Caenorhabditis elegans: one gene and its partners. The protein of the gene in region 3 interacts with the protein of the main gene of each other region in a pairwise test. Each region holds a gene or a part of one and is shown on either strand. Other genes may lie near its edges. The genes, in order: egl-18, dmd-6 and nhr-62.

The links.
Region 1: the proteins of nhr-62 (region 3) and egl-18 interact in a two-hybrid assay, tested with the Caenorhabditis elegans proteins (one large-scale study listed by BioGRID).
Region 2: the proteins of nhr-62 (region 3) and dmd-6 interact in a two-hybrid assay, tested with the Caenorhabditis elegans proteins (one large-scale study listed by BioGRID).

The regions. Positions count from the first base shown.
Region 1 is NC_003282.8:1,911,479-1,919,047, forward strand, and holds egl-18 (Putative transcription factor egl-18), read left to right. Parts: upstream 1-1,967; 5' UTR 1,968-1,993; coding exon 1,994-2,119; intron 2,120-2,164; coding exon 2,165-2,695; intron 2,696-3,206; coding exon 3,207-3,452; intron 3,453-5,645; coding exon 5,646-5,882; 3' UTR 5,883-6,360; downstream 6,361-7,569. Other genes in the region: Transcription factor elt-6, read left to right, coding at 6,499-6,639, 7,074-7,190. UniProt on the Caenorhabditis elegans protein: Probable transcription factor. Involved in embryonic development and in vulval development in larvae, acting redundantly, at least in part, with elt-6.
Region 2 is NC_003282.8:14,614,218-14,623,248, forward strand, and holds the start of dmd-6 (DM domain-containing protein), read left to right. Parts: upstream 1-2,385; 5' UTR 2,386-2,493; intron 2,494-2,846; exon of another isoform or gene 2,847-2,867; intron 2,868-2,952; exon of another isoform or gene 2,953-2,973; intron 2,974-3,138; exon of another isoform or gene 3,139-3,159; intron 3,160-3,789; exon of another isoform or gene 3,790-3,810; intron 3,811-3,916; exon of another isoform or gene 3,917-3,937; intron 3,938-4,030; exon of another isoform or gene 4,031-4,054; intron 4,055-4,158; exon of another isoform or gene 4,159-4,179; intron 4,180-4,916; exon of another isoform or gene 4,917-4,937; intron 4,938-4,980; exon of another isoform or gene 4,981-5,001; intron 5,002-5,194; exon of another isoform or gene 5,195-5,215; intron 5,216-5,233; 5' UTR 5,234-5,237; coding exon 5,238-5,456; intron 5,457-5,510; coding exon 5,511-5,640; intron 5,641-5,964; exon of another isoform or gene 5,965-5,985; intron 5,986-7,306; exon of another isoform or gene 7,307-7,363; intron 7,364-7,799; coding exon 7,800-7,873; intron 7,874-8,291; coding exon 8,292-8,525; intron 8,526-8,644; coding exon 8,645-9,031.
Region 3 is NC_003279.8:9,837,588-9,845,860, forward strand, and holds nhr-62 (Nuclear hormone receptor family member nhr-62), read left to right. Parts: upstream 1-2,010; 5' UTR 2,011-2,021; coding exon 2,022-2,268; intron 2,269-3,409; coding exon 3,410-3,536; intron 3,537-5,102; coding exon 5,103-5,161; intron 5,162-5,855; coding exon 5,856-6,647; intron 6,648-6,701; coding exon 6,702-6,907; intron 6,908-7,003; coding exon 7,004-7,120; 3' UTR 7,121-7,216; downstream 7,217-8,273. UniProt on the Caenorhabditis elegans protein: Orphan nuclear hormone receptor. Required for metabolic and physiologic responses associated with dietary-restriction-induced longevity.

The DNA of each region.
Region 1 (7,569 bases), on a different chromosome or scaffold from region 3:
AAAGGAAGGATGTTGAGGAAGAAGTTGAGGCAAAAAGAGAGAGACTTCGTTTCGAAGAGAAGATCGCAATCAACTCTTCTGATCAGCAGCCATCCAATCGAATCGATAAGAATGTTTGAAGATTACCATCTTCTCACTAACATCGTCACACACACACACACATACACTCACATTCTCCACTGCATTCCTTTGTTCGGACTCATCACGGACTCATCACCTCATCGTTTCTTGTGTTAGGACACCACTGTTTACGGGCTCTTAGACCGGTTATGGTGCATCGTCTCCTTGTCAGATGGACCACCAGGGTGTTACCGCCACACAGGTTCTCGGCAGGTGTTATCTGAGATTAGCTGAGAATTCAGCCTTGTCCTGGAAAATTGTTTGATTTTTTACCTGGCATATTAGCTCAGGGCTCGGTGAAAGCTTTTTCACAGATTTCTCCGCTCGATTCGACCAATTTTGAGCATTTATACCATGGGTGGCCGGCACTTGGCGTTTTGCCAATTTTTTTGTCGGTAAGTTGCCGGTTTGCCGAGTTGCCGGAAAACTTCAATTTCGGCAATTTGCCGATTTTCCGGAAGTTGCAATTTTTGCCAAAAAAATTCCGATTTGCCGTTTGCCGTACATAAGATTTGCCGGAAATCATAGAATTTGTTTACTTTTCAAAAGGATGCGTACACTTTTTGCCGATTAAAATTGGAATTCAGAATTTAAAAAAAAACGTGCAAATTCCCAATTTGCAGAAAATGTTCGGCAAATCGGCAAACCGGCACATTGTCGATTTGCCGGAAATTTCAATTCCGGCAGTTTGCCGATGTGCCGCCCATCCTTAATCTATACCGAAACTCAAATTTTCAAAAAAAAAATTTTTTTTTTAAATTGATAAAAACTATTGTAGCAAATCAAAAAAATGTTTAAAAAAACATGGCAAAGATTCCAATTTTGTTTTTGGAAATTTTGTAATAAGGTGTTTTAGAGACTTTCAAAACGCCATCACTTTGCTGTACCTGAACCGGGGCAGCTGAATTTTTCGGAGGGATCATTATTAGCACTTTTTTATCGAAAAATTACAACGGTTTTCCGGCAAAATCTGTTTTTTTCCAGCTTTTTTATGCAAAAAAAAAGACACCAATTTTGAAAAATTGATATATTTCGAGTTTCCTTGACACTTGGCACAGTTCCAAACAACTTCCGTTATCGACAAGCTAAAATTTGGCACATCTACAATTATCGATTAGGTTTAGTGTCGGGGTGATACTACGTGCATAATTTGTCGTACAACAACACAACAAATCGTCTCCCCTCTTCCCCCCCCCCCCCCCCCCTATCCACCTAATTTCCACGTTTGTCCGGCTGGGGGAAAAGGGGCGGAGACGGGCGGTGAGTAGCGTTCTTCTCCACACAATATCCCGCCCATTTTCTTCGCGTTGATCAGTGTCATTTTATGGTTATTTACTTGTTGGTCCATTCTTGTCAGTAAGGAGGGCCTCCCTTTTTAAAGTTTTGACCTATATTTTTGATTATTTTTTGTCTAGTTTCAGCTTGAACTAAGCCGATTTTAGGCCGAAATAGTCCGCATTTTTCTGATTCATAGCTTAAATTTAATCTCCAAATTGCTAATTTTGAGTAGATCCCTATGTTTATGCTACGTATTTTTAGCCCCAAATAGTTTTTAAATAGGCTTTTATTGATAAAAATTGACCCTTTAAGAATTAAAACTAAGCTATTTATCGGCCTGAATTCTCCATACAAAACGGCTATTTTAGGCCGTTTAGGCCGTCAATTTCTGGTACCTCCATAGTAGTACATTTTAAGGTTCAAATAAAATTGTCCCCCGAAAAATCAGTTTTTTAGTCCAAAATCACCCATTTTAAGCCCTACCCCAACTCTGTTCAGGTCAAAATTTTATCCTCGTACTCTCTTGATATTTTACTTCCCCTGCACATTTTCCCTCTAAATTTTCCATTTTTTGCAGTGTCTCCACACAGTCTATATGTCGATCAGCATAATGACGGAAACGAGACCAGAATCCGCCGAGCAACAACACCACGAAGTGCTCCAGAGGCCGTCAGATGAGCCGTGTAGTGGTTGCAAACAGTTACAGAAGGATGTTGCAAAGGTAATTTAGAGCTCAAAAAACCATTAACAATTAAAAAATTTCCAGACAATCAGCATGGTTATGGAGCGAATGGACAAACTTCAGTATCGGCTCGACGAGCTGCTCAAAGAGAACAATGAGCTGAAAAGCTCATCGGTCTCATCGGGAAAAGCCTCACCATCACCGGCAGAGTCGAGGAGCTCTCCGAAGCTTGTCGAGACAGTAGTCGCTCCAGTATCAGGAGCCCGGAAGCGGAAGCCCAAGGAGCGGAGCCCACCGGCAGCTGCGAGTCCACTTCCAGACTTTTCGAATTTGATGAACGGATTCATGTTTGATCCTCTGAATATGTCAAATCCAAATGGAATGATGCAATTATTATCAATGGTTCAACAGCAGCAGCAGCAGCAACAACACCACCAGCACATTGAGAATCAACAATCCGTGAGCCCACCACAATCGAAATCCGTGAAAATTGAAGATCCAATGGATCAGGATGTGAAACAGGAAGAGTCGGAGCGATCCGATATCCCGACGGCTACAGAGGCGCAGAACCTTTTGGATGCACTAACAGCACAGTTTAGCAGCAACGGACAGGCGGTAAGTGTTGAGGAAGGGCCAAAGGGGGGGGGGGGGGGGGGGCGAACAAAGGAAAGATATATCACCCCGGGAGGCGGCGTTCGCTTTTGAAAATCTACCGCTGCGCGATTTTTTTGCACTTAGGATTTCTAGGATCCTGATTGGATTTAGGATCTTTCGAGAACTTTGGGGAGAAGTTCCCGAAGCTCTATGATCGGAGTTCGCAGGGTTCCTTGAGGAGCCTACTTCTGGGGAAACCCTTGTGAAGGTCCGGAAGCTCCCAAAGTTGCTCAGGATCATTGCGCACCTTGACAAGCTTTAACTGCTGCCCTGACTTCCAGCGGACTTCCAGCGAGCCCTTGAAAGTCGCCAGGATCCATTGAAACCTCCCAGAGCTCCTTAGCTGCTTTAGGGTTTTTCAGGATCTTTGAGGAGCTTCTAAGATCCACCCTGAGTTCTTTAGGATCTCTGCGATCTTTCAGCAGCTCCTTCAATCAATCAATAAATACATTCACTCCTAATCACATATCAGTTCTTCCAGACCTCCACCACATCTCCACCATCATCATCATCCCAAGTACAAGCGGTCATCGAAGCAGTCGCCACACCATCATCCCAAAGCCAAGACAGTTCAATGTTTGAGAAAACCGAGACGAGTGGTGATCCGAACGCGGCGCGATGCTCCAACTGCCGAACCGACAAGACAACCGCGTGGCGACGTGACGCCGAGGGGAAGCTTGTCTGCAATCCGTGTGGGCTCTACTATCGATTGCACAAGGTTTGTTCGTCGTGTTATTCATTAGCAGAAAGATATTAGCAGCGACAGTAGAGTAGCAGCAGTAACAGCTTCTAATGGGGGGAATAAGAGAGTGTTTGTTATCTGATGCGAATAGAAGGAAACAACCTAGTTAAGATAGCGGCAAAATGAGGGGAAAATAGGAGTGAAGGAGAGGGGAGATTGAAATATGAGATTAGCTTCTTCTTCTTCTCCATCTTCTTCGTCTTCTTACTTTTTATGTGTTAGTTGTGCGACTGATATTGATCCGAAGACGATTTCTAGGTCAGTTTGGCTAGATTAGGATTTTCTGATCCTTAAAGGCTCTAAGATCTAAGCTCCACAAGCTATCCTAGATCTTATCAGAAGGTTCTCGGGTCCTGCCGATCCTTGAAGGCTGAAGATTCGCTCTATCCAGGTTCTAAAGCTGCTCTAATCGTTCTGGAGAATGTTCGGATCCTGGTGATCCTAGATAGGCCAGAGAGCCTGTGATAACCCTCTTAGCCTGGCAATCCTGGGCTTCAGGTGAAGATTTCAGATCATCTGATCGTCCCATATGCGATCCTGATCCTTATCAGAAGCTCTGAGTTACTTGGTTCTTGTTGAAGATCCCCGCATTATCAAGAATTTCGAACTCTACCACCCCAGTAGGTCAAAAGTACAGTACCTCCACCTTCTCCACCTCATCATCATCATCATCTCCATCATCATCGATACAGTATCTACCTTTCTTTCAATTTCCATCACTTCAACCATTATGTGGTCGTCGTCATCGTCGTCGTCTCCACCTCGATAATTAGCGTATCGGCTGCGGCGGCGGCGGCGGCGGCGTGCGTGCCGCAGAAGGAGACGAGTCAATGATTACCTGTAACTCGAATAGACTTTCCACCTCTTCCTTTTCTTATTCATTTTAGGAGAAGAAACGACGACGACGACGTCTTATTGTTCACCACCGGCACCGACAATTAGGGGGAGATGAAACTAGTGCACGCGTGCGCGCGCAAACAATCCAGCCTCAACGTCGTCATCATCATCACCAATGACTTTTTGGTTCCGCACGCCAATCCATATCGAAACTTTGGCGGCGGGGGTAGTTGTAGGGAGGATCCTGAGGATTCTGAGGATCTTAAGAAGCACCAGAGCTTCACTGTTTCCTGGAATAGGTCGATGATTCCCGAGGTGGAACATCAGAGAATAACCTAGCAAGGATATCCCAACAATCTTGAGGCGATCGCTCAAGATTCTGATGATCTGTAGAAGTTTCATTGGTTCCAGTGATTCGAGGATCCTCAAGATTCCGGTGTAAGGTGTAAGATCAGCTGATCCATACCCAAGAAGACCTTCCATTAGTTCCACTGGATCAAAAATTCGGCAATTACGGAGTGATCCCCCTCTCACCACCACTTTGTATCTCCCCCCTCCTTTTGCTGATACACGTACACTCACTCTCACCCTAATTGCCCACCCCGCCGCCGTCTCCGAAGATGGAAGACCACCACCACCCCTATTGTTGTCTCTATTGTGTGTGCAAATTGAGAAGAACGTTCCGCCCTTAGATGGATGTGTGTGTGTGTATCTAATATGGCCAAGGTTATGAAATTGGGAGAAATGATAATTGGCGGTGCAGGAAACGGGACGATCACGACCGGACAGACCAGATGTCTGATTAGGAGACAGGTGGATCCAAGAATCTGACTTAGGATCCGGTGAGGCTATCTAGGACAGAAGCTTGGTGATAATGGAGATCCCAACGAATTCTTTGATATGCTAGAACAACCGGAAGTCTTTAGATCGAAGCTTAAGCCAAAGGAGACCTCCGATCCTTCCGATCCTTCCATCGCTAGGATCCCCTACAGCCTCTAGTAAGAACATTCACATCATCTGCGGATCCTTCTAAAATTTACCAGCGCGAAGATCTATCCGAAGGATCTTTCCACCGATATCCTGAGATCTGAATTTTCTGGGAAAATCTACAATTCTACAGAATCCTTTGATAAGATAATTCTGACCCTTATGCTGCTTGGATTTCTGCGCGATCGATTGTGGCGATCAACCACACTGGGATACTTAGGATCTTAAGGATCCTCACAGTACCCCCCCCCCCCCTCTTAGAAGCTCCTAAATGCCTAAGGATCCTTCCAAAAGCTCACCCAGATCCTTCCCACCTTAACAACTAATTCATTTTCCAATTTCCAGGTTCGCCGACCAATAGAAATGCGCAAAAACCACATCCAACAACGCTACCGCCGAAAGAACAAGGAAAAAGAGTCGTCGGCGGCAACACAGATCTTCAACCAACTCCTCACACAAATGCCGACGATGGCGACCGGCGGAGTGAGCACTGATGGAGCCATCAACACATTCAATTTACTCGAGCAAATCTCGCAATTCACGCAGGCTCAAGAGCTCATGAATAGCAGTGCCACATTTTAATTATCATTATTATTTTTTCCCCCTTCACATCCTTTTTATGCACAATACCTTTATGTAATTTTTCTTATTTATTGAAATTTGAAATTTGAAATTCTCCATAATGTATTATTGATTAATAAGCAATCCTTCATCATTCCATTACCCCTTCAGAAAAATACAGTATTAAATAATTTTCCGCCAATTTTCTAATAATAATTGTGCCCCATTTCCCCCAACTTCACCGCGTGTTTCCGACTGTGAGCTTTACCTCCTCCTCCGACAACTTATAATAATAGTTAGGCTCCGCCCCATTCTGCAGGAGGCCCCTCCCCCAATTCTCTGTGCATGGTTGTGTTATATTCACCTCCTCCCACCACTTTGTCATTTCACTTGAATCATCATTTTTGCATTTTCATATTTATTTTGAAAAAATCTCATCTCACTCTCTCTCTCTCTCCTTATCTCTTGTGGTTTTTGACGGATAAACGTATGTATCTCATTCTATCACTTTTAGCTTTTAACTTCGTCCTCTCGCTCTCTCGCACTCTCCCCTCGCTCCACAGTCTCTCTCCGTCTCTCTCTCTCTCTCGCTCTCCACTTCTTCTTCTTCTAAAACAACGTCACACGTGATTTACAGATGACGTCGTCGAAGGAGGAGATGCCGGATGAGATGGTGAGCCGGGAGGTGGAGGAGGAGATGGAGGATCGGGTTGAGGAGACGGCGACTACAGCAGCAGCGTGCACCGGATGCGCTCAGCTTCACAAGGATATTCGACAGGTGCATATTATTTTGTTTAGCAGTAGGCTCACGCGCCTGCCTACTCTCGACATTTGGCTCCAGCTTCTTGCCCAAGTTTGGCCTAAAAAATATTAACTTGGATAAGAAGCTGGCTAAACTTGGGCAAAAGTTGGGCAAGACTTTGGCAAAACTAAAATCTGGTCAGACTTCTACCCAAGTATAACTAAAAAAAAGAAAATTTTGGACCAAAGTTTGGTAAGAGTTGGGGGAAACTTTGGTGCAGCCTGAATCCAAGTTTTGCCCAAGTTTTGCCCAATTGCCAACTAGAGCCAAATGCCGATAGGCAGGCATACATGAAGTAATTCTCGGATTACCAGAAACATTAAATTATTTTTCATTTCATTGAGAATTTCTGAAATTCTAGGAATTTGAATCGCCGCGCTGAAAGCTCCGGTCTATTCGTTTTCTTACAGGATGTTTCAAAAATGATGTCGAAAATTGACGAAGTGTGCGGAAGGCTTGAAGCTCTTATCAGTGAAAAGGAAAAAGTCCTGCTTGAGCAAATGTCCGAGAGCGGAAGCGAGGAGAAGGTGAGATTTTTGACAACTTTTAGCGGCCATGTTGCAAAAGTTCTGCGGGAAGGAGCTGGTGGAACTTTAGAAATAAGCCAAAATGGGCTGAAACTGAGCTTATTTCGCAGCATTTTCCCGCCGCCTGACAATTTTCGAGAAAGAAACTGAATCTGTTTTAAAGTTATTTTCTCAGTTTTTCGCGATTCTGAGCCATTCCCAAGAAACTTGTTTATTTTTGCATCCACGTTGATCATAACTTCCTGCTGTGTCCCGTGGTGCCAGGCTGTCCCATCACGGTTTGATCTACAAAAAAATGCGGGATTTTCTTTGTTTCTTCAAGTAATGTGACGTCAGCACGTTCTTAACCGTGCTAAATCAGTTGAGAAGTCTGCGTCCG
Region 2 (9,031 bases), on a different chromosome or scaffold from region 3:
TCTCCTCTGGCTGACTAACAAAAATACAGTTTGGAGAAAGATCAAACTCCGCCCCCATCCCGCCGCCATATCATCCCTTAGTATGTATGGGTCTGTCAATGACAACGAGTATTTATAAAATTGAGAATTCAAAAGATCACGTTTTCATCCATTATATGTTTGTCGTCTGCTGATCTTCGATTTATCGCATTATCAAACGTTGATCATTTCACCATTTCATTCAACGATTTCCAGTTGGGGGAAACCCTTAGGCTCCGCCCACAAATTGATGGCACATGTCGGTTCTCTTTATCTCTTCATTCGGTAGCATAAGAGGCGAGGATTTCGAACTTTTAATCTCGTAACTTCAGATACTGATGTTTCAGTTATATGTGTTTGAAGTTCAGTTTTCTCGATAATTTCCACCTGCTTTACTTATTTCCGCACTATGATTGGAGACTACAATGTTCTGTGAATTCTTAGAAAACTTGATATTTGATTTTAAAGTGTTTTCTGCCGACGTATAACTCAATACTGAAAAATTTTGCAACAAAATTTTTTTTGTGATAATTTTGAAACAGTAATTTTTTTTCAATTTTTTTTTTCAAATTCTATAAAAATATTTCTCGCAGTTGTTTTTCATTCTATTTCGTTCCAATCAAAAAATTCTGCGATCTCTTGTTCAACATCGTTTTCTCTGATCATAATCTCAACACAAGCAGCTTTTCCTCCATGTATTTTTCGAGATGTGACGCCTTTACAGGGAGGGCGTTTGATCTCTACAAAAGCGTGAGCTACTTAGTGGGGCCAGAAAAGTGCAATTTACTTGCATAAGAGTAACAACAAAAATCATAGCGACCCCCCGCCTGCCCGGCTGTATCTCGATCACGGATCTTTTGAGTAACATCAGTTCCAATTGAATATCCGTAATTTCCGTAGTATCCGTAGTATCCGTAGGCCGTAGTTTGTAGCAGTAACAATTTTCTGGATAGAAGTTTAAGAAGTAAATCTTAAAACTTGAAATCAAGAAATAAAAATTAATAGTTTAACTTTCGAAGTTTGAATGTCAAAATTTAAAAATTTTTAAAATTTGGAAATTTTTTTCACTGTTTCAAAAATTCCATGAAAATTCCTCGCCGTTTCAAGTGTTAGTAGTAGTTCTGAAAGATCCCAATGAACATTCTGTGACTCGATATCTCCACCTCCAGCAGCAGAATCCGTTCAAATGTGGGATTTCTGCATTTACCGTGTTTTTCTTATCTAACTCGGCGGATCTAACCTTTATTCACACGTACATTCAAGAATTCAGTATTTGTAGTAAGTGTAGTTGGTGAGAAATTAACTGAAAAATTAACGAAATCCGATCTTATTTTAAGTTTTCCAAAAAAAAAAATTACTGTTTTAAAATTTATTATAAGGAAACGGTGATTTTTTCGACAATTTTTCAATCCAATTTATTTCCAATTTATTTAACTGTTCTGAATCTTAATATAAACCATGTCGCTGGAAAATATAACAATTTTATGTGCAGTTGCAATAACTAAAATTTCCAAAAAAATTTGTTTTCCGCATTTTTCTAAGTTCAAGCTTGATTTCTCATTAATGGTCGCATCTTGTTCCTGTTACAGCCAGAAACCTAAACTTTTTTCACAATTTGTTACCTGTTTGGAATGTTAATATAAATTTCGCTAAAATATATATTTAAATCTGTTGAACTGCCGTTCCCGCCAAAATTGACCAATTTTAACTTTTCGGAAAAAAAATACTGTTTCAAAATTGCATGTTCCTAATTTCAACTTTCATTTCTCAATAACTTCGGTTCTTTTTTTTCCTGTTACAGTCAAGAAACTTCCCAAAAAATCCCTCAAGATATTCATCTCCCGTGCTTCGGCCTCTTTCTACCTTGAAACTCCTACATACGCCCTTAATACGAACTGTGTCTAGTTTAATACACTCGTTATTCCCTTCCATTGCATTTCCTCATCTTCACTTCATTCTGGATCGTTTTTGATTGGGATCTGAAGCTGCGTGGAAACTGGCTTTTTCGATGAAAACGTGATCGAATTTCTGCATTAAGAATCACTGATTAAAATTTTCAATTTACAGGTTCTAATTGTACTCTTTTTTTTTTGGAAATTTTTTTCACTGTTTCAAAAATGTTTCTTCTAAACTTTTCAACAAAACCTCACTGATTAAACTTCGTCCAACATTTTCCGACAGTTTTCTCTCCATATATACTTTTAATCTTTCGGTTCCCTCTGCGCACGTGAAAAATAATCGTATTAAACAGATTTCGTATGCAAAACTTTTCCATAATTTTTTCAAAAATCACAATTTTGGCTTCTCTCTTTCCAATTTACTATACAATTTCTCCGCAAATTTTTAAAGAAATTCCTCTTTTTTCAGACTTCATCTCACTTTCATTGCCAAATCATCAAAAAGAAGCCATTTTTGGTTGGAGCTCGTGTGGCTCAACAATCAAAAAAAAATATTATTTTGTGGAGCTGGTCATTGGTAAGTTCGTGTTTTTTTTGTTGCAAACATATTTAGCCACTTGAGGTGTCTAGGAAAACCGGTGAAGATGTTTGTATAATGTTAGTCGGAAGCACAAAATTAGTGCAAATGACGTGGCGGAGGAAACGGAAAAAATTCAAAATTTTGGACTTTGGAAAAAATTAACTGTTTCAAAACATTTTGAAATTTACACAGAGAGCATTGTTTTTTTTTATAAACAAAACTTAAGTTTGAAAATTGCAATAATTTTCGTCGCTTCTTGTAGCTTGGCTGACAACCACAAAGTTTTGGTTTCAAAAATATTTTACTGTTTCAAAAAGTTCTGAAATTCACAAATAAATGTTTGTTTTTGCTATGATATCGCCCTGTATTGGTCCCAATAAACTAAACTATTCTGATTAAAAAATTTTCAACTGTTTCAAAATTTTGAAAAAAGTTCCATTTTTTTTAAGTGTTTGCTCTATTCTTTCTTTAAAAGTTTCACCTTATTGTACATTTTGTAGACACATTTTGTAGACTACAAAGGCTACGTGTTTGCCAGTTCTTTCACTTTTTGCCGTGTCACTTGTTAGTCATTTCTTACAAGAAATGGGAACTTTTCTGTTTCACAATGTCTTTTTCTTTTAAAAAAGTTTGAGCTTCAGCTGAAAAGAAGCTGAAAATTTTTGTTCCTGCTTCAAAGAGAAAAACACTGAAACTTTGAGCTTTTTGTTGTCAATTTACTCGGCGATCTTTAAAGAGACGAAGAAAAAGAAGAAATGTTTTGTCTGGCGGTTGTGTTCTCTGTTTTTGCGGGTCCCCCAACTCCAGTTTTTTGATCACTTATTTTTCCTATTTTTTTGAATCATTTTTCTTGACTTTTTCTAGATTTTTCTTCTCTGGAAAAGTCACAGAATGATGATGATAAAGTTTGTGATCAAAAACACACTTTTCGACCTCTTCAGTCATTCAACCCGGTTAGTGGGAGGAGGTGGAGAGTAGGTCAAATATTTGCACACCCCGCCTAAACTTTGTACCGCCCAATTTTATGTTCATTTTCTGTGTGCCGTGTGTAGTAGAGGAGGAGCAACAAAGAACCGAACTTACGGAACTTTGTACCTATGGAATTGATGTGTTTTGTATTAATTTCTATATTTTTTAAATTCTGTCGAAAGCACTTTGAACTTTGTGAACTTTTCATATTTTTATTTTGAAACAGTAATTTTTTTCTTCAAAATTTGAAATTTCAAAAATTCGAATTCAAAATTTTAATAAGATTTTAAAAATCTACATAAATATTTTTTGTTGAAAAATGATGAACCTACTTCGTTGGTAATAGCAAAAAAAAAAGAGTCCACAACATTTTTAATGCATATTTTGAAACAGTGAAAAATTTCACTGTTTTTAAATTTTTACGTATACATAACCGCAACATAATTTTTGATTTGTATTTCTTATTAGGAGTAAATTGTTATTTTTAGTCAGTAATCAAATTCATATGCCAAATTTCACAAAATTTACAGTGAAAGTGTTATTAAATTTCAAAATTTGAAACCGTAATTTTCCTGTCGTTCTACAAGTAGTATGCCTCTACTTTGAAATAATCAAACATTTTCCGTGAAACAGTAACTTTTTTTCGATTTTTAAAATTTTTGCAAATCCTTTACTGATGTGAGTTTTTTTATTACTAATAGAATCACATAAATATTACAGTTCCAGTTTTAAAACTCTTAAACATTTTCTGTGAAACAGTAAATTTTCATTAAGAATTCCAATTTTCAAAAATCATCTACAGTAACCTAGTTATCTCCATCTAAACGCTTATTTCCTTGTCTGAAAATGTCTTAATTTACTTCCTCTAGATATTTTCTACTTATTTTGCACAACCATCCTCTCATTTCCGTGTTCTGCTTCTTCTGTTTTGTGCTCCGTTCGCCTGGTCATCTATTTCTCTCTGTGTGTGTTCTAGATCACAATTTGTGTTGTGTTCTCCAGTGTCTCTGCTGCTTCGCGTTAGCATGTTTTTCACCCAATTTTTGAGCTTTTCGAGCCCAGACTAGTAGACCCCGAGTGATCTTCGAACACCCCCCTGTGTGTGTGTGTTCCCCGCATATGTGATTATTGAACCACTAGGGACTGGAAAAATAGGAACGAGGAAGCTGGAACACACACCCATCGAGTGTGTTTTTTTTCGAATGGGAAAAAAAAAAGAAATTACATATTTTTTTCTCTTACTCTCTTGTAGGTCCCTTTGTAACTTCCGCTTTGACCCTTGGAGCTCCTCCTCCATTTTTGTCACTATTCCTGATCAGTCTTCATGATTTTAGGTTAGCTAAGGTTAAGCTCTTGTGGATTACTGTAGTACTCTTGGAATATATATGTCTTGAAGAAAAATTACTGTTTCATTATTTTCACAAGTTTATACAGTGATCATGTTGCATCAATTTGCTGTGTGCATCTAGCAGAATTACTGTGAATCATTAAATTCAGTAAGACAATTAGATTTTTTTCGAAATTTCGGGAGCTTCATTATGTAAATCATAACTAGCCAACGAATATTCAAGTTTTGAAACACTAATTTTTAAAATTTATTGAAATTTTTTAATATTTCAATTTTCTGTTTCTAGAGGTCTGTTTTTTACACATATTTTAAACTTAAAAAATTAAAAGAATTCCTGTTTCACGCTGTTCGTAAGAAGTCTTACTTTGAAAAATCTTTTGCTCTCCTTCCGTACATATCTCAAATTCCCAATTCTTTCAGTAAAATGAGCCCACACATCATCGCTACTGTAACCATCGACGACGAGCATCATCATCATCATCACCGCAGCAACGAGAACTACTCTCCATCATCCCAAGACATGGACTCCCCAAAGCCAAAGGGACGCATCCTTTACTGCCGAAAGTGCGAAGGACACGGCGAGAAGGTGATCCTCAAGAATCACTCACCACAGTGCCCATATATTCTGTGCAATTGCAAATCGGTAAGTTCTAGAAGAGTCTGGGAGCTATTTTGTTTTCAAATTTTCAAATTTTAGTGCGAGAAGCTAAACTACAAGCGCCTGAAGTCGTTCAACAAGAGAAATAAGGAAAAGATCGAGTTGGCAGCAGCTCTGAATGCAAAGAGACATGCTCCAGAATCCGGATCCAGTGTTGACGATGAAGAAGGTGAGCTTTTCCCTGATCTCTGTCTCCTACTCCTTCACTATCAAATTAGAATCCATATAGTACCCATAGATCTCTGATTTCTCAGTTGTGTTTTGGCGCTTACTCCCTAGTTCCCCCACAAATATGCATAACTTCCGTCTAGATTTCCACAAAAATGTACTCGGTTGTTTTGTTCGTTTCTCGTACGCGATCGAAAATCTCTGTATGACTAACAACGTAGACAGCAGAACCACTGAAAGATCAAGTGTTATTTCAAAACTATTTTGGAGTTTGCGATGATGTTTCATATTTGTTAGATATTTTGGAAAGGACATGATCTTTTGATTTCAAGAGTTTACTACAAAATTCGATCCCATGACATTCACTTTTCAAAAACAAAGCAACTATTTGCCCAACTTTTGCAAAAAAGTAGACTGTAGGTACCGGTACTAGACTAATCTTTTGATAGTGTTATCAGTTTTTTTCCTTTATACCATTACAAAAATCACCTGATTCTTGCGCTTTCTGATCGTTCCAGTGTAATTCGTCGCACTTTTGGAACGCCGCAATAACAAAATTCTATATTCAGAACAAGTGTTCTTAGATCGCTGAAAATTCTATTTCCTAGTTCCATCCCTCGAATCTACGAATCTTGTTTTCGTCGTCTTGATATATACAAAAATGTGTGTCCTGATCGACTCGAACCCTCCACTGACCTTTTTGTTTTGCTCATTCGCCATCTACTTGTTTTTAGTACATTCCAGCAACTCTTTCTCCTCCTCCCCCCCCCCCTTTCATCCCTTCTCTTCGGTCGCTTCAGGACCTTGCACTCTTTCTCATTGCGTCTGCACACTCTCATCACATCTGTACTATTTCTCGTTTGCCCTGTCTGATTTTCGCAACTACTAGTCTACTCGGTTCTCATCGTCCTCTCGTTTTTCCACGTTTTTTCACATTTTAAGGCACACACACACACACAGAGAGGATGACGAAAAGGCGCTCACATTTTCAGTACACAATCACTTTTCTGTGTATGTGTTTGTGTGCCCAGCCTCCCGAGGACGACTGTCTCTTCTGTTATTCGCGAATATTTCAGGCATTTCGTCTAGTCTTCATTTTCATTTTTATGTATTATAATTTCGGTTCTGTCTTCAAAAAATTGAGCTAAACTCCTTGGAACGTCTTCCGTTTTGAGTTTTAGCTCCCTGGTTTGATCCCTTATGCAGCCCGTCTACGATCTTTTTGCATTTGATTATACGTAATTATTTTCTCTCTCTCTCTCCTTTTCATTTTTCACAATTTTCCCACTCAATTTATCTGTCTACAAAGTTATGCTTTGGTGTCTCAATGACTCACGACGGTTGGCACATATCTCGTGTCAGTTCAAAATAATAGCAATTATCATTTGAATATCCGCTGACCGATGGTTAGATTGAGCACGTATGCGCGTATGCTGGCCAAACAGAAATAGAAATTCCAAGTATGTGTCTGGAGCCGCCGGCTCGACTGTAAACAGATTTCCGTCACTTTTCTTGTTCTCAATTTTCGATGTCTACATATAAATGAATAGAGATTAGAAATCATCAAAATGGCGTTGACGTAGGCAAATGGTGAATCACATTAGCTCACATTACGTATGATCCCTGTGTTTTGGTGTGCTGCTCTTTCATATACATTTTTTTTCATTTCTCTCTCTCTCTCTCTCTCTCTCTCTCTCTCTCTCTCTCTCTCTCTCTCTTTTCTAATAGGACTGAATCAGTGGGAGTAAGTGTACACAGACTATGAAAAAATAATGTAAAAAAGGTGAGCAACACACCAGTCGCACCAAATAGTGAAGGATTTAAAGATCACCGAATTTCTATTCGCGTCTCTTTCTTCTTCCTCTCTCTCTCTCAACATGTTTCGTCTCCCATTTCACTCCGTCGTAAGCCGGCGGCATTATCCAGTGCGAGACTCCTTTCCCAAGTACGGAACCCTTGTGTCCCTCTACTGATCTTTATCCGGCACCTAGTACCTGTCCTATATACCCACACTCGGGGCCCCCCGAGAGAAAGAAAGATGCATTCGATTTTCTATTGTTTCTCATTCTGCAGTGAAACGCGAAACACTTTCCATTTTCTTCTTTTCCAACACATACACACACACAATATGTTCCAATTCAATATTTCGAAACTTTTCAGGCTTCTCCCGCCGTTCCTCATTCTGCTCAAAAACTTCAACACCAGACATGGACTCGGAGACGAGAACCTCATCGGTAAGTATTCTCCACCTAAACTAGACTCTTGTTTTGCACTTCATATGTGTAAGGCATCTGTCAATAGCTAGCTGGCTTTCTTTCTCTGAAATCGCGGTTTCTTAGGAAAATATTCTAGTCTGCTCATAGCTCTCACGCGCACCTTGACCTAACAGCTGCATGAGAAGAAGACGTCGACGACAGAACCAGTGAGAGAGGGAAAATTCTGATCTTATGGTTTTTAATCTGCTCCTGCTCCAAAGCATGCGCTCTCTCTCTCTCTCTCTCTCTTCGCACGCTGCTCTGGCTCCCTCCTCACGCAGCGGCGCTCACATTTTGTCAGAATAGGCGGAGCAGGTGCGCGAGCCCTGTTATTACTTTATCTTCTCATACTCTTGAGCTCATTTCCAATCTCATGCTCAACTATATTCCATTTCAGACGACTCCTATCACTCGTTCCAACTCCACAATGCCCACAGCTAATGGTCTTGAAGGACGAAGTGGCTCACTTGGGCACATGACAGTCATGTCCTATGATATTTGGAAGGCCAAGTGTGCATCAGAGAGAAAGAGGCTTGAAGAGGAGAGACTCACAAAGCCTGAACTATTCACCCGATCTCCATCACCTGGCCCAATGAGGAAGCGTGCTCACACATTTGTTGCTCCGCCAACGGTTAGTTGTCTAGTTTTCTAGAGAGTTCTAGAGAGTGATCTATGGTTCTGGCGAGCCGTCGACATCACCCTTTTCTAGCCTAATTGTGATTCATCATTTCTCATACATGTATTTTTCAGATTCACACGCCAGACATCCCGGTTGTCGCCGCAAAGAAGATGTCACTTGATGAGAAGGTGAAGGGCAAATTCATCACACTTCCGACGATTCCTGCGATGAGAATTTTTGTGAACGAGGAGGATGAAGATGTGAAGCCAGTGACACAAATGCAATTGGCTCAGCCGATCGCTTTAACTCCATCACCACAAATGTCACTGGCCTCCACACTTGCTCAGATTCCAATGTCTACTCCGGTTTGTATGCCTTCAATGATCACGCCGACGTCTTTCCTGGACATTCCATCGACCTCGAGTCCAATGCTGCCATTCCAAATCTCCACGACGACTTCTCCGATGCTTCAGCGTCAGACACCAATCTTGACACCACAGATGTCTCCATTCAAACCA
Region 3 (8,273 bases):
TATGTTTTGTAGTCAAAGCTTATGGCACAAGATGATTCCTGCCAAACCCCGCGCACCACTTTTTGTCATCATTTGTGTACAGGAGAATGGGGACAGTGATCGTAGTTTCAAAATGGATCAGCACAAGATACATATTCCAATTGTTTGATTGAGGATTTACGATTGAGGATACTAATTTTTGAATAATTCCAACAAATTGTAACAACAGAGAACCGGTTACAGCTCAGTTTAAAACCTGGATTAGTTGACCAAGCTATCGTAAAGATACAACATGGTTTGCTCACTTTTTCTAGACTTTTGTGCCTCATAATTGAGAACTCACAATCAGGGAAGCGACAAGGTGAACTATTTCAAAAGTATATCAAAAATACCAGACAACAAAGTTAACAATAAAATTGTTTTAGCCAAAGTATTGGAGCCCTCAAACTTTGAGAACATTTTTGACTTTTTGAGAAGATGCATTACTGCATGTTTGAAGCCCTCCGTGATTTTTATTAATAAGAAATAAGACTCATGGAAAACGTTTCTAAAAAAAATGTTTCCATTAACCTAAGTATCCAAAAAAGCTTACATTTGTATGCACTTTTGATATGAAAAATAACCGCATAATAGAAAAAACCTTCAAATAGCTAAGCAACTAGGAAGACTATACAATTATGCGATTTTAACATTTTTTAAAAAAACTTTTGAATGTTTGATTTTGCAATCTTTTTAATCCTTCACATATTCTTTTGCTAGACACACATTTGCATATATTTCAGAAAATAATAATAAAATCTCAAACTTTTGATCTTTTGGTGCAAGAGGGCATCATCTCCAAACATTAGAACTCAAATATGAATGATACCAGGTGCATTAGTATTGCACACATATACACACACCTCTTTAACATTTTGAGCTACTGATAACACAGTTTTTGATGATTTTTGTCAAAAGACAATGATGTTTTGTTTCATTGAACTGATTCGAATTCTTGACTTTGCGTCAGAGATCTGAAAACTTTTAAATGTCAATGCACCTTTAACCTTCTGATTTTTGTTTTAATTCGGAAAAAATTGCATTTCAGGGCTTCAATAAACAAAACCTTCAATTATTATCTCCTTTAATTAATTACTAGTAGCTCAGAACGTACATTTGTGTGGAGAGTGCATGAGAGATCTGATAGGGGAATCTTTAACTCGCCCTCGTTTCGCCCTACCGACCCTTGCGTGCAATTTTTCGGCAATTTAATTTTTCAAAGGCGTTCCCGAGCGAGAAGATCTAACTCGAACTTTAAATTGTGAGGAGATATAAACTCAACCTGAATTAAATCAAAATTTGCAAAATTTGCATAAAGTTGGAAAACAGTTTTTACCTTAGGGAAGAAGCGCCCCTGTCACGCCTCGACCTGGTAGTTAAGATTCTTCAGAGAGTGCACGCTAGAAGGATATTTGCTAAACAACACCTAAACCTGAAAACTTTTTCTGGTGATTAGTATTTGTAGTATCTGTAGTATTTGTACTCTGTAGACTACACACAAACTAGCTTCCTCTTCCGAAAATCATTTTTGCTTCCTTGCATTTCAAGGTATTCCTCTCTCAATTTCCACGTCATGCATTTCAACTATAGTGTCGTTTGATTAGCCGTGACCATTGAAACAATGTTGTTATGTGCTCTGGTCCATACGGAAAGACAAAACAGTCCGAAGAGAGGTCTCACCTCTCAAACATTGTATTGTTCCTTTTATATCCTGTGTCTCTTATATATTTATTTGCATAGTTTTCAAAAAGGCTACAAAATCCTCTTGCATCTCGTTGATAGACGCAGCTTACGAAACAGAACTCTGGTCAGACGATCATGATTTTCCGTTCTCATATCACACGCCGCCCATTCATATCCGATCAAAATGTTGCTCACGTTCTTAGTTGCTTCCGATTGCTTCCGTCTCCACCTCCTCCCACCATCTTCTCCACCTTCTCGATTACCTTTTTAAACTCCGCCTCTTCATCTTGACTACTCTAATTCTCTCAGATTCATCTACAATGTTCTCAACTCTCTCACCAAGCGCCATTGACGATATTCTACGGCACGCTGTCCATTTCGGACAGGGAACCACTGCAATCGCACCAAGTCCTGTCACATTCATCAGTACCACCACACAACAATCATTAGGTGCCACTTATCCGGGTGTCTTCAATCCAACAACTCCAACATTCAATCATTACCAACATCAAGCTTTACCTGTAACAATGCACACATCAACATCATCTGCTCATCATACGACAACAGGTTAGCTGTGTGACTTGTGATTTGTGATTTTAGTTGTTTCGTTCTATGGACTTTTTGCAGCGAATTCTTATGAATTTTTAATGCTTCTTATTAGTTTTTATTTTTCAATAATTCTTTAAAGGTTCTATTGAACAACGTTTCTGATTTTTTGTTCTTTGGACTCAAATGTTTGCAGCAAACTTGGTGAGAAAATAACAATTTTTATCTGCAAAGTTTTTATTGGTTTTTTGTTTGAAATTTCAAATCATGTTTTGCTTTCCTACATCAAAAAAAGATTGTGCTTTACATCATGATATCACAGAAAGATCAAGGAAACAAACCTGTGGAACTGTTCGAAAAATTGTCGATGGGGATTTTTAAATCTGAAAGCTCAAAAAATGTACCCTCTGCTTTCAGGCACAGTATAATTTTTTCTAGAAATCGACCAACTTGTGGTAATTTCAAAAAGGCAATTAGTTTATATCTCGGTTGTCTTTGATTTTTTGAAAATTTTTCAACTATATTAAAGTAGAACAATATTTTTAAAATTTTTTTTTAATTTTTCGACAAAACGCTGATTGAGATGTCAAAAAAAAAGAGATGTTAAAATGAAAATAAATACGGTATTCTGAACATACGTTATATTTGCCGTTACTGTAACTATATATATATATATATGTCAATCAGATCATGTTAGAAGTCAATTAGTCGAGTCTTCAATTCCTGAAGTTCAAACTACTAAAAACTGATGTTTCACAAACAATAACCACTTGTAGTTTTTCTGTGTAAAGACACAAATAGTTCAAACCACATAGTTTTGTTTTTGTAAGATTGTTTTCTTGAACGGATTTTTTTGCAAAACCTACAAGAAAACATAAAATAGTCCTTATCCTTCTGGATTTAAGATAAATTCGTTCAAAAATCAGAAAGAAGAATTCTGCAAAAATTTTAATCTTACACGTTCTACCTCCTTTGCAAGCAGAAACATGCTTGTTATTATCATGTCCAAATCATCTAGTCAAACAAAAAATTTGCCTTCCCGATGGAGTTTGTAGTTACTGTCATGACGTATTGCCATTTGGGCATCGTGTCCTTTATAGGCCAACAAGACTCTAGTACCCCACCTTTCATAGTCAAAAGCTCAATAGATCAATTGTTTCAGGACATGGAAGAGGTCGACGTAAGAACTCGACGATAAACCTGGTATGCGTAGTCTGCGGGGATCAAGCGTTTGGAAAACACTATGGCGTAAATGCATGTAATGGATGCAAAGGATTCTTTCGTAGAAGGTAAACCATGATCTCTTGATCCTTTGATTTTTGCACTTCTTTTCCCTTATTCTCCTTCTCACGCATGGTGCGGGAAAGACTTTTAAAGAGAGTATAGAGAAGAAACAATGGACAGTAGAGGATAGAAGGGGGGTCTCTCTGTATATACAAATATTCATGAGGTGGCGGAAAAGGTTAAACGATCAAATGATGGGTTGATGAGGAGATCATTGATTCAAAACAATTGGCCAAATTGAACACTGAATAGGATAATTGTGACAGGGAACGGAACAGAAAGTTTTTTAAATTTATTTCCCGAGTTTTTGGATATGTGCGGATTATGAAAGTGTTAGAAAAGGATAAGACACTCTTCTGAGCACAGAAAGATAATCTTCGTGTAGGTTCTAAACTGATTGCAAGGTTTGGAAATAGATGTGACAAAGACCACAGCCTTTTGAAATAGAACTGAGCTTAAGTCTAAGCCGAAGTCTAAGCCTAAGCCTACTTCTAAGCCTAACTTTCCACTGAAACTGTTAAATTTTGTTGTTTGCTATCACTAAAGTGTTTTGTGCCTGCAGTATGGATACAGATATGGTAATGCTATATCCCATCACAAAACAAACTACAAACCACAGTTTACAAGTGTGTTCGTGTGCCATTTTGTACAAGATCAAAAATTCATTTTATAGGTCGTTAACGCTAGAATTTACAAAATTCAATAGAACTGGCTCAATTCCTACACACATTGTCATGGAAAAGTGCGCTAAACTCTAGTTTAAGACTATATTTGATATGAGATAAAATATGGTTCTTTGAAATATAATGTCACATTGAGAGAGTCTGTAATTTTTGTGAGTTTCCAATTATTGTTGTTCCATGAAAAAAATCACTGACGTCAATTGTATGTGACTTTTTGCAAAAACTGGAACTCAGCTACCTGCTTCCGGGCTCCGGATGTACAAGGTATAGAACATCAGAAGATCAGTCATTTACTAGTACTTTGTACTTTTCTTTTCTAAATTGTTGAATTAATTCAAAGATAACTTTGGCCATTTTCAACATTTTCGAACTTTTCGGGAATTAGTTGTGAGTGAAACTTTCAATAAGTTCAAATAGTTTATTTTGAAGTTTGGGATACAACGTAGCTTTCCTTTTGCAATAGATTTTGAATGTTTACACTAACAATTCTTCAAAATTGAACAATGGAACATCATAGTTCATAGAATGTTTTCCTAATTTTTGTAGTTTTCAAGTAGTACTGTAGTTCATTGAATACAGTTCATACTCCTGCAGACTTTATATTTGATTTCTTAATTGTTCGAAATTGGAAAGTTCAATTTGATCACTCATATCAAATCATCGTGTGTATTGATATCTAGCCAGGTTTTGTACAAGATCCTTATCTGTCCATTCCCCCTCTCTCTCTTTTGCGCCGCTACGTGAGTTTCCTCAAGACCGAAATGTGTATTCCTTTTCTATTTTCATATGATCATATGATCTTTTGTGTCAATGATACTGCAAATAACAATATGAAAAATGAATAACTGGAAAAAAACATTTGAAAAAATAAAATTATTTTAATTGCAGTGTTTGGCACAACCGGCAATACTTGTGTAGATTTGAGGGACGATGTGCAATTGCAAAAGGTGAGCAGTTTTGACTTGAATAACTCGAAAATTAGTTCAATCTTCTCCTTGCGGCTAACTTTTTTGAAGGACCTATTTAAAAGGTTCTCTTTCAAATTAAACCAGGCTCATTTAGAAACTCAAAATTGAGCTCAATCGTTTCTAAACCAAATAATGACGAACACAAAATATTGTGATCACTTCATGTGTGCTGTTACGTGAAGTTACACAACAAAATTTTGAACTTATTTACCGAGTGTTTGAACAAAAAAGATGTAGTTTTTGTAGTTCAAAAAGTTGTGGAAATTTTTTTTTCCCGCCGCAAATTTTAGCGAATTATGTACTGTACTTGGTCTCGTCACTACCAGAAACTTCTAGATGTGTAAAAAGCGAGTGCACCTTTAAAGAGTACGATCGATTCTGTGCCTCGTCGTTTCACAAGTGTGAATGTTCGAGAATTAAAGTTAATCATCGGATGATTGGAAATTCAATCCTCTCCGTGACTATTTTTTTTTCTTATCCTTTATTAGGCTACAAAGATACAGTTCATGGGCATGATTTGCAAAGACTGTCCGTTTCGGTATAATAATCTAATGTTTTAAATACCGAAGCATAGAGCAAAATATTGGAAAATACGATTTGAAAATATTTTCAAATGTTTGATATCGATTTATCGAATATTCCCAGTTTTCTTTAAAATAACCCAATGTTCCAGAACATCGAAACGTTTGTCGAGCCTGTCGCCTGAAACAATGCTTTGTAGCCGGAATGAATCCACGAGCTGTCCAGTCGGAACGAGTCGAACGAGAACAAAATGGATCGCCAAATCAAATTGAAGAGGACGATTATAAAGACTTGTCGTCTCCGGATACATGTTCTGTTGAAATTCAAACAGATGTAGATGAACAAAAACCATCGTCAAACAACTCCGCGCCTTTGCCAAGTATGGAGCTGGAAATGGCAAAACTTTCTGAGCAGATAGTTGAAATGCATAGAGCAGTTTGTTCTTATGTAGATCCAGTGACAAAACGGGAAAATTTTGATATGAAAATGGAGACTGAAACAACGAAAATCGCATTTATGAATGCATTCTATAATCCTGAAATGATTGGTCCAAGAACTCCTTTGGATATTACTGGAAGACGGGTTGCAACTGTAAAAGATGTAATGGATGAATGGAAAAGGAATTTTGTACTTTTCTCTGATTGGTTAAGAGCTCTTCCTGAGTACAATCAAATGTCAATTGAAGATCAAATTGTTCTTGCCAAAAATCGATACGGGACATTTCACTGGTGGATGTGTGCAAATTGGACTGTACAAGCAGGATGTGAGGGAGTATGTTACTCGAATGGAGCATATTTCCCAAAACAACCAGAAGCTCAATGTATTCCTGATGTTAAAGGATCAAGTGGACGAATGTATGACTCATTGAGTATTCCAATTAAAGAATTGAATCTTGATGAAACTGAAATTGTTCTAATGTTGGCAGTTATCATTTTCAGTGATGGTAAGTGGAGCATGATGCTTGGTAGATTAGAAATATTTGAATTTTCTATTTCAGAGATTACAGAACTTGCTGATTTGACACCAGCTGGAAAAGAACATGTTCGAATGGTTGGAAACCGATTCGTTCGCATGCTTCATCATCATGTGAACTCAAAAGAATATGGAGAGGCGATGGAAAATGGAGATGATACACAAAATAGTAGTGAAAGTCAAGCAGCAGTTCGAATTGCCAAAATGATGATTCTTCTCTCGGCGACTACGGTAAGGGTTTCAAGAATTAATGCTTCAATGTGCTTGACATTGCAAAGTTTAGCAGAACCAGATTGTCCACAAAGTTCTGAGTCATAATATTTCCAGAATCTCGTGTATCTCACTTCTGACAACATTCAATTGATGGAGGTCCTACACGTTGTGCCAAGTGAATATCTTTGCCATGAAGTTCAGTTTATTCAAAATTCTTATGAGACACCTTGAACTTTCGGATTTCAAAAGTCGAAGACGGCGACGGGTTTTTAATTCTCTTAATATAATTATTTTTGAATAATTATTATGACGCTTATAAAGTTTTATATTCCAGTTTGTTTCTTGGATTGTATGAAAAAAATAAACGACAAAACAATAAGAACATATGAAAAATACTTTATTTCATTAGTTTTATGGGTGAAACTGGGTTTTTTTTTTGAAAAATGGTCTATAACTTAAGTTAGCTAAACATCAGAAATATTCAAAGACTTTGGGAACCTTCCAGACTTACATCGAACTTTATTGAATTTTTCTTTCAATGAAATTGTTGAACATTCCATGATTTTTCAAAACTTTATCATTTACGAATATTCCCGAAACCTTTCACACAGTTAATTTGCGACGGACGCAAACTGTCTCAGTATGGACGCATCACGAAAACGACAGTTCGTAATGCACACATTGCGGACGTTTCAATCCACGAACAGTGTGAACCTAATCATCTAGAATTGTATTGTTTCGAACTGGAAGAAACCAATCTTAAATTAGCTGATATTATCATTTTTGTGCTCCTGTTGTTGTTTGTATTCACTTTCAAGTGATGAACAACAAGGAATAAATACATATGTATAACCATTTGAAAGAATGAAAAATAAAAACAAGGTTGTCATGACATTCATTTTCTCGTCCACTTTCTATCCATTTCCTTTCCATTACTTTAACCGGAAACTAACAGGGTTGGACCACTACAGCTTTCTCTTTTTTTTTCTCTTTTTCCTTTACTTTATCCAAGGCTCTGAGAAGAAATGCTTTTAGCATTCCGTTTTGACTCTTTTTTTGCCTTTTCTTACCCCAATTTGTCGAGTTTTTTCCTGGGACTTTTCAATGTGACATGTTGCTCTTTCTGGTTTGCATAAGTGATGTGACAAGCAGAAATAGTATTCAAGAAATGGAGATGTTAAAGAAAGAGGTCGAATTGTGAATGAGCAAAAGGTTCTCTCAAGAGAGGTTATTCATGAACAGATTTCAATTTACTGCAGGTTTGAATGGTGCCTTTTGTGACGATTTCAATCCAATTTCGTTCTTTTCATGTTTTTTATATATAGGATAGTCTTCTAGACTTATATATCTCAAAAATTGAACGGTCTAATTCAACTCCTTCCGT